2 linked regions of the Canis lupus familiaris genome follow. The protein of the gene in region 1 purifies or fractionates together with the protein of each later gene. This does not show direct contact. Links are inferred from orthologs where the notes say so. Each region holds a gene or a part of one and is shown in the gene's direction. Other genes may lie near its edges. The genes, in order: LSM14A and DDX6.

Region 1 (4,342 bases):
AATGCTATGAAGAAAACATAAGCAAGCTAAGGGCATATGGTGGTGCAGGCAGGTGTCCTGTTTTAATCCCCAGTAAGGAAAGTCATCTCTGGAGGTCACATTTGAGATCTGAATGAAGAGCGAAAGTTCTGGGTGAAGAAAGGGTGGCTAGAACAGAATGGTGAAATGAGGTGACGAGGGGTTAAGTCGTCTATGTTTTTGTAAGCCTAAGTAAGGAGTCCGGCTTTCACTCTGTGACTAGAGATCACTCGGGAGAGGAGTACTGAGTAGAGGAAAGACATGATCTGACAGATTTTAGCAGGACCCCGGCTGCTGTGTGGAGAGTTAAGTACTGGGGGCAAGAACAGAGGTAGAAGGACCTTTTAGGAGGCGATTGCGGTAACCCCGGGCAGGGAAGGGCAGGGGACGTGGGGTTTGTTGTAGAGAGGCAGGAGATGGAGATGGTGAGAAGTGATCAGATTCGGGTCACCCATTATCGATGGAGAGGGCAGGATTTGCAATCAGAACAGATGTCGGGGTGAGAGAGAAGTCCAGGATGACTCCAAGGATGAGCAGTTGGATAAACAGCACCAGTTCCCGCGGTGGTGAACCGAGTGGCCGAAGGTTAATCTCAGAGGGAAAAACCGGGAGCCTTGGTTTGGAGACACAAAGTTAATCAGATGCGGATTAAACGTGCAACTAGAGAGAATGAGGGGGTCTACGGCTGATCTGAGTCCAGAGTTCTCCGAATTGATCAAAGCAGCAGACAAATGCCTGGGATTGGTCTGTGTAGAGTGGCCCTGAAAGCCACGAGCCCAGATGAGAGCATCCCGAGGTGTTGGACAGAGTCCCAGCTCCAGCAGCTGCGAAGGGGAGAAGGGGGGAGGGGGAAGGGGAGGGGGGGACGGGCTGGGTAATGGGATGCTGCGATGGAGCCCGGGGAGCTTCCAGAGGGCCACAGTAGCCTCGAACGGGAAAGGACCGGGTCCTAACGGGGCTCGGCGGGAGCTCGGGGGCGGAAGGGCCCCTTTCCAGGCTGAGGGATCCTCATTCGCCGACGCAGGACGCAGGACAAGATGCGACGGGTCTGCAAATGGCGGAGGCCGCGGGGGAGGCCGAGAGCGCCGCGCGCGCCCCCACCGCCGCCCACCGAGTCCCGGCGCCGCCAGGTACGCCGCCTCTCCCTCAGTCGCCGCCTCTCAGGCCGCGCGAGCACGGCAGCCGGGGACTCGACCCGGCGGCGCCGCCGCGGAGACCCCCGAGGCCGCCCGGGGAGGCCCCAGCCGCCCGCCGCCGGCCTGAGTCTCGCGAGAGCGCGGCCTCGCCTTGCCCAGCATGCCCCGCGCCGCCGCCGCTGCCGCCGCCGCCGCCGCCGCGCCGCGGCTTGAGGGCGGGAGGCTGGGGGAGGGTAGCGGAGCCGGCGCCGCCGCCATGTTGGGTCTGAGGCGGCTGCTGTAGGCGCCGACGGAGCGAGCGGGCTTGCGGAGCGGCGACAGCGGCGCGGGATCTGCCTCTCTGCGAGCGGCCCGGAGCGGCGGCGGCGGCGGCGCCATGAGCGGGGGCACCCCTTACATCGGCAGCAAGATCAGCCTTATCTCCAAGGCGGAGATCCGCTACGAGGGCATCCTCTACACCATCGACACCGAGAACTCCACCGTAGCCCTCGCCAAAGGTACGCCGGGGCGGGCCTCGCGGGGGAGCGGCGCCCGGCTGTAGGCCCGCGGCCCCCTGCCCCCCCCCCCCCCCCCCCGCCCTCCGCCGTCCTCGGGGAGGCCGCTCCCTTCCCTCCGACCGGGCCCGGGCGTCACGGGGCCGGGCCGCGGCCTCCCCCCCGCCCCCCCGCGCCCCGGGGGCTTCCTGGCTTCCACCCCGGGGACGTCCGCGCCTTCAATCCGGGACCTGGAGGACCGAGAGCGGGGCGGGCGGGGCGGGCGGGGCGGCCCTCAAGTCCGAGCACGGGCCAGAGAACACGGAGAGACGTGTTCTTCCAACTCCGAAATTCGGGGGTTCTGGCGTCTCCCCACAAAACAAAGCCCCGAGTATTCAAAGAATTCTTCCGCCCAGCTCGAGTTTAGTTGCAGATTTGTTGATTCCGAGGCACCTATTTTCTCACGTTCTCAATTTCGATTTGTTGGCGGCGTCCCTCAGGTGAAGTAAGTGTGTGTGGGGGGGTGGGGGGGGCGATGTGCCAAAACTTTGGGTCTCGCCCCGCGACGCCGACGGTCTCGGGGCCCTCGGGCACATCGCGCCCCACTTGTCCGCCTTACGTGGTGTTTACCTGCTAAACCGGAATCCTCCTCAAAGGCCGTTGTGCAACCGCGTCTTTAAAAAAAAAAAAAAAAAATGCTCGCCGGGGTGCGCCCGGGGTACCCGGTGCGGAGGCGGGTTCGAGCTTGATCCAGGTTGCACCCTCGTCCCGAAGGCTGCGCCGCGCGGGCCCTGCCGGCGGGTCCCGGGGACGGCGGCGGGTTCGGGGCGTGGAGCACCGAAGGGCCCTGCCCCTAAGGATCTCACTGAGCGTCGCCCCGTCTGAGTGGGGTTTTGTTTCCGTTCACACGTGGTGGGGCCTTGGCTCCGCCGGAAAACCGGCAAGAACGTAAACTTGAGCTCCCGCTTCCTCAGGTCTCACGAGTTTGGGATGACTTAGGCGAGGGGAGCAAGGTGATAACCAAGGTAGCCTTTCCAGGTACATCTGGTAGAGAGACGGAACGAATGAGACCGTGGTAGAGACAAGAGGCCCAGGGCCAGGAAGAAATTTTCTAAGTCTGCAAAAAAAAGAAGACAAATTTATAACGGAGCGGGAAGTTATTTCACAGCATCACACGAGTACTTAGTGACATTTGGGGGGTCCTTTTTAATAACACTTGTGTTGGGACAGATTGTATGCCTGAGTTACGGAGTCTTAATTTTTTTTTTATCTTAAGTTTCTTTTCCACTGCCCCATAGATATTTAGCTGTATAGTGTCTTAGTTTTTATGGCTTTATGAAGTTATCAAGAAGACTTTCTTTTTTTTTTTTTTTAAGATTTTATTTATTTACTCATGAGAGACACACACACAGAGAGGCAGAGACACAGGCAGAGGGAAAAGCAGGCTCCACGCAGGGAGGCCGACGTGGGACTCATCCCGGTACTCCAGGGTCATGCCCTGGGCTGAAGGCAGGCACTGAACCGCTGCACCCGGGCTGCCCTCAAAAAGGCTTTTTTAAAGTTCTCAGTGAGGCCCACATACAGTATTTGTAAGCTAATCTGAATTTTAAGGTGTCTTGCCAGTTGAATGACTTACCATTGAGTTGGCTGTACTTTTTTTTTTACTCCTCACAATGACAAAAATTAATACATTCTTAAGGTTTCTTATGTATTAAATTTAGTCCTTTTTTTTTTTTTTTAAAGATTTTGTTTATTTATTCATGACAGACAGAGAGAGGCAGAGACACAGGCAGAGGGAGAAGCAGGCTCCGCACAGGGAGTCCGACGCAGAACTGGATCCCGGGACTCCAGGAACGCGCCTGGGCGGAAGGCAGGCACTAAACCGCTGAGCCACCCAGGCGTCCCTAACTTTAGTCTTTTAAAAATCTTTGAATTCTTATATTCTTTTATACATTTTATACATTACACATTTTTTTTCAGCTTCTAGAGTCAGTAAACTACAATTTTATTAGTCTGTAGTAGTTGAATTCACAAACCAGTTTGTTCTTGTATCATGTCTTGATAAATACAAGCACAGGAGTGAAAAGTTTTTTTAATCATTGAATTTATATCTGTGCTTATGGCTTTGATAGTTAATCCCACAGACATGATATATGCTTTTTTTTAAGCAGGAGTTATTTAATATTTAATAGAGATTGAGGGATTTAATTGTGTTTGCAAAAATGGTAGTTATCAAATTTTCGTACCTTACTCTACTTAGCATCTGATCTAAAACTTCTGTATGGCTATCTAGTCAACACTGGACATTTCAAATTTCAGAGTTAGAAGTGGGGTGTTTGGTTTTCAAATTTTAAAATTTACATGACTTGTGAAGTAATTTGATATCTGATATTTCACGTTTTTCAAAATTTGGTTGAAGAATGGCAGTCTAACAGATTAAAGCCAAAAGTTTGTTTATGAAGTTTAGAATACCATATGTATATGCATTTAGAGATCTCTGTTATCTTTGTAAACTATCAATTGAGTTAATCTCAAGTGACATTCTTAGAATTCTCTTCTGGATGTTAATTTTTTCCCCTCTGGGTAGAGTTCTTTCCCTTTTATTGTGAAGTAACCACACATGTTGAAAAGATACATAGATAAAAATGAAATGTTTTTAAACTAAGATGCTGTAACTACCACCCAGGGCAAGACAGACATTGCCAGCATCCCAGA
Region 2 (4,304 bases), on another chromosome or scaffold:
TCTGGGTGGGAGAGCACAGGCTACGCTACACGTTCAGGATCTTAAAAACTGTCAAGGGGGATCCTCCCTCATAATCGCAAGAACGGGCTTTTCTTGCTTCTCCACCACCTTTCCATTGGCTGCGCGGAGAAAAACAAAGGCGACCGAAGGAGACCAGGCCATTTCCTCGGAGCCCGCTGAGCGAGGCCGCCGGCCCCTTCCCGAGTTCGGCGGAGACCGGCGGGGACGCAGGGAGGTCCCGAGGCTCGCTGTGATTGGAGGCTGCCGGCGTGAGGGAGCAGGAGGCAGGCTAACCAGCCGCGGGGCGTGTCCGAGCGGTCGGTTTGGGGAACAGATTTGGCTTTCTCTGATTGGCCCCGAGTTGGGAGCTGGGGCAAAAATTGGGGAACTGGCCGGGGACGCCGGGAGCGCGGGGGTCCCGCTTCCGGTCGGTCCGCTGGGGACACCCGGGGGCCGCCACTCCCTTGACCTGACCAGCTTCCTGGCTTCCAGTTTTCCTCTCACCCGGGGCCACACAGCGCTCCCCACACTCCTGCCCAGGAGAAGCGCAGCCATCAGGACAGGACGAGTAGTTAGGAGGCCGCCGGGCGGCCACGGAGCTAGAGAAGCAGCGGTCGGGGCGGGGGCGGGGGGGGGCGGGGGCGGGGGGTCAGGCCCGGGAAGACTCGCCCTCGGCCGCCGTCTGGTTCCTATTTCCACGAGAAGTGACTCCTCAGCAGCTTTCCCTTCCCGGCGGGGAGGTCGCAGCCCGCGCCCCCGCCCCCCCTCAGCGGGGCCGTCGCCCCCCTTCCGGTCCTCACACCCGGCGCGCGCCGGCACCTCCGGGCCTCTAGTGCGGCGCGCTCCCGGCTGAGGCGCTCCCGGCTGAGGCGCGCCCGCAGGGGCTCGGCCGCGGCCCCCGGCTCCGCAGGCCCCCGGCTCTGCAGCGGCTGCCGCGGCCCGCGGGGGACGTCAGGTCAGCTCTCCCGTCCCCGAGCCGCGCGGCCCGGACGCCGCGTCCTCGCTCGGGAACAAGGCGCCCCTCCTCTGGTCACAAGCCCCGCTTGACTTGCAGGGCCGCCTCTCCCCGGCCACCGTGTCCCCACTCGTTTCTCCTCAGCTGTGGAGAAAGCTAGCCCTCCGTCCCACTCTGAAAGGAACCCGTGTCTCCCCTGCGAGTCTCCGTCGCCCCGGTCGGTGTGAGAGCACCGCCGTCTGTTTGCTCCTCGGGGAGGTTCCCCGGCCAACGCCGCGCCGGCCGCGAAGCCGAGGAGGCCGTGACGCCGCGGCAGGCGCGGCGGCGGCGGCTGCGGCGGCGGCGGCGGCGGAGCTCTCGCCATCTTGCGTGGAGGAGGAGCCGCGGCCGCCGCCATGCGGACAGGCAGGGGGAGGGGGAGCGGAGGGGGAGGGGGCGGCGGGCGGGCGGGGGAGGGGCAGAGCAGCCGAGTTAGCTCAGCCCGGGCGGCGACTCCGGCGGCGCCATGAGAGCGGGCAGCGGCGGAGGTAGGGCCGGGCGGCCGGGAGAGCCGGCGGGCGCGGGCGGCCCGGGAGCGGCCCCCGGAGCGGGGCGGGGGCGGGGGCGGGAGGAGGAGGCGGCGGCAGAAGCGAGGGGCCGGGTGGGGGCGGGCGGAGGTTTCCGAGGAGGAAGGAGCCGCCGCCATTTTGGGAGCTTCGAGTCAACAATAAAGGACCGAGGGTGCCGAGCGGGAGTGGCCTCGGCGGTAGGACTCGGGCCCGAGCCTCGGGGAGTGGGGTGAGGTGGTGGGGTCGAGGTCAGCGGTGCGGTCGGGGCCGCGGGGAGCCCCTCGGCCGGCGGGGGGGGGGGGGTGCTCTGAGGCGGAGGCCTGAGGCCTGGCCGGGTCCCGGGGAAGAAGGCGGGCGGCGGGCGGCGGGCGGCAGCCGTGTGGGGCGGGGGGCGCCTGAGCGGAGTCGAGTATGGGGGTGTCCTGCGCGGCGGGGTCCGGAGAGGGAGCGGGCGAAGTACTCGGAGGAGCTTTGTGGAGGACGAGGGGACCTGGGTCCGCAGGGGCGGCAAGGACTTCGGGGGATGGCGGAGGTTATAGGGTACGAGGCGGCCCTATAGGGGGCGGCAGGGACATGCAGCGTCGGAGGGCTCGATTTGGAGGAGGACCCGCTGCTGCTGGCTTGGAATAAGGCCTCGTAGGTCGGTAACAAGAGGGTGATTATGGAGCCCCCGAGTCGTGGAGGAAAAGGAGGGGCTTTCTGACTTAAGGGTTTCTCTTTGGGGCCTTCTGGGGGTAGTCCCTATTGTTTCCTGCCCGCGGAGTTGGTTCCCTGCTCTTGTGGCGCAGCTGCGAAGATAGGGCCCCAACCCTTTTGTGTTTATGGTCACAGGGGGCTGGCTGACTTGAAGTGTGTGGTTTGGGGGGGGGCGTGTTGGGGAGCGAGAAATTACCTCACAATCCGGGGTTCGAATCATTGGCTTGTCCCCCCTCATCCTTCACTCCCTTTTCTCTACCACAGCCCTCCCACCCCCTCCCCCGTTCCCCTCAGAAGAAAACAGTCCCTCCAACTTGCAGACCAAGCTTAGAGAAACTGCGCTGCATTTGCAAACAAAAGCTCTTGTCTGAGATGACGATACTGTTTTTGGGTGTGAAACTGTCAATTGCTAACTACACAATCTGGGAAGTGCTGTAATTAACTCCGCCAGGGGCTCCTCCCAACTAGTCTACGTTTCGTTCGTATTTTTGAAAAATGTAGAATGTAACTTGCAAGTCTAAATTGGGAAGGGGTAGGAGGAATATTTCCTTCTCTGAGACATAAAGCTGCAGTGCAGGTTTCGGTTCAAGTAAGAAGGGAGTAATAGTCCTATTTTGGATCTAGGGAGATGAGGTCTTAGATTAAGAGAGAGCTCGTGGGACGATAATTTATCTTAATCTTTAGAGGTTGCCCTCTTCATCTTACGGATTTGCAAACAAGTCTTGTGTGAACTCCGTGATATTGTTGATCATAATATAAACCTGTCGATACAGGGAACAATTTACCGCCTTGAACTGAAATTAGGTTGGCTGTTAACCACGGTCTGCGTAAGGCATTAGATTCTAAGAGACTTAGAAATGTACAGCTTTGTGTATATGGTAATCAGGATTTGCTTCTGAGCAACTAAATATTCAGTTTTTTAAAAAGTCATAACCAGTTGTCTTGGAAAAGATTTATTGTTTTGGAATCTTTGGTGTTTGGCACACAAAAAAATCACCATCAATTAATAAACTAGTGTGTATTTTTTGGTAAGAAATAGAAGAGTTAAAAAAGCACAAACCTAACAGTACTTTATTGTCCATCCTTTGTAAATTGTTTTTACCTACTACTTTTCAAAGTAAGAATTTGATTTTTGGGAATAATTAAAAACGGAGGTTGACTAGTTCTTTTTTAAAACAACTATTTAGTACTCTGGGTTTCTTGGAAAATTTGGTTAAAGTTGCTAGTCTGTTTTAGGCTTTCACAGATTTTTTTTAGAACAGTTTCCTTTTGTGTTTTTTATCGATATTTTTTGATAACAGCAAATATTTTAAGTTAGGATACACTTTTTTGGAAAGTGTTATTAAAACGGATTTAGCTAATAGTTTTTTTTAGTATTAAGTTAGCTAAAGATTCTCTTGGCTGTTTCTCAAGCAAAAGATTTTGACATGGAGACCTGTCTCTGTTTCAGTTACTTTTTTTTTTTTTTTTTTTTTTAAGATTTTATTTATTCATGAGAGAGACAGAGAGGCAGAGACATAGGTAGAGAGAGAAGCAGGCTCCATGCAGGGAGCCTGATGTGGGACTTGATCCCAGGACTCCAGGATCACACCCTGGGCCGAAGGCAGGCGCTAAACCGCTGAGCCACCCAGGCATCCCTGGTTACTGTCTTAAAGGGCAAAATTTAAGAGGGAAAAAAATATTTTTCTTCATAACGTTAAGCCTCTGTAGTTGAAATCCATAAAGTCACAAATGTGTATTTTTGCCCCAGAAAACATAAAGTTAAGTCAAAAGCTCAATTTCAGGAATTCTCAGTTGCTGTCAGAAATAGAAAAAAAAAAAAAAAAAATGAATGGTCTTGCCTTGTTCCAAGATATGTAGATTTACATTAATAAAATTGTGTGATACTTCATTGAGTTGTAATGCAATTAAGGGTAATGAATCATTGACTTTTAGAGGTGGCAGGGATTTTTAGAGAATTCATCAGGGAGGAAACTGAAGGGAAGAGATTGCCATTTGACAGCTAATGCTAATTTAATCACAATATCTTTCTACCTAATCTTCTCTGGGTTGCTTTGAACTGACAGTTTAAAATGTTTGAGATTGGTCTCAGTTGGCTTGGGTTT

Evidence for each region.
Region 2: the proteins of LSM14A (region 1) and DDX6 purify together in Homo sapiens (affinity purification with mass spectrometry; 4 studies listed by BioGRID and IntAct, with this or other methods). This does not show direct contact. The link is inferred for Canis lupus familiaris from reciprocal best matches to the Homo sapiens genes LSM14A and DDX6.

The regions. Positions count from the first base shown.
Region 1 is NC_049222.1:118,955,155-118,959,496, reverse strand, and holds the start of LSM14A (protein LSM14 homolog A), read left to right. Parts: upstream 1-1,330; 5' UTR 1,331-1,530; coding exon 1,531-1,651; intron 1,652-4,342. UniProt on the Homo sapiens protein: Essential for formation of P-bodies, cytoplasmic structures that provide storage sites for translationally inactive mRNAs and protect them from degradation. Acts as a repressor of mRNA translation. May play a role in mitotic spindle assembly.
Region 2 is NC_049226.1:15,026,295-15,030,598, forward strand, and holds the start of DDX6 (probable ATP-dependent RNA helicase DDX6), read left to right. Parts: upstream 1-1,418; 5' UTR 1,419-1,482; intron 1,483-1,596; exon of another isoform or gene 1,597-1,700; intron 1,701-1,707; exon of another isoform or gene 1,708-1,732; intron 1,733-2,559; exon of another isoform or gene 2,560-2,696; intron 2,697-4,304.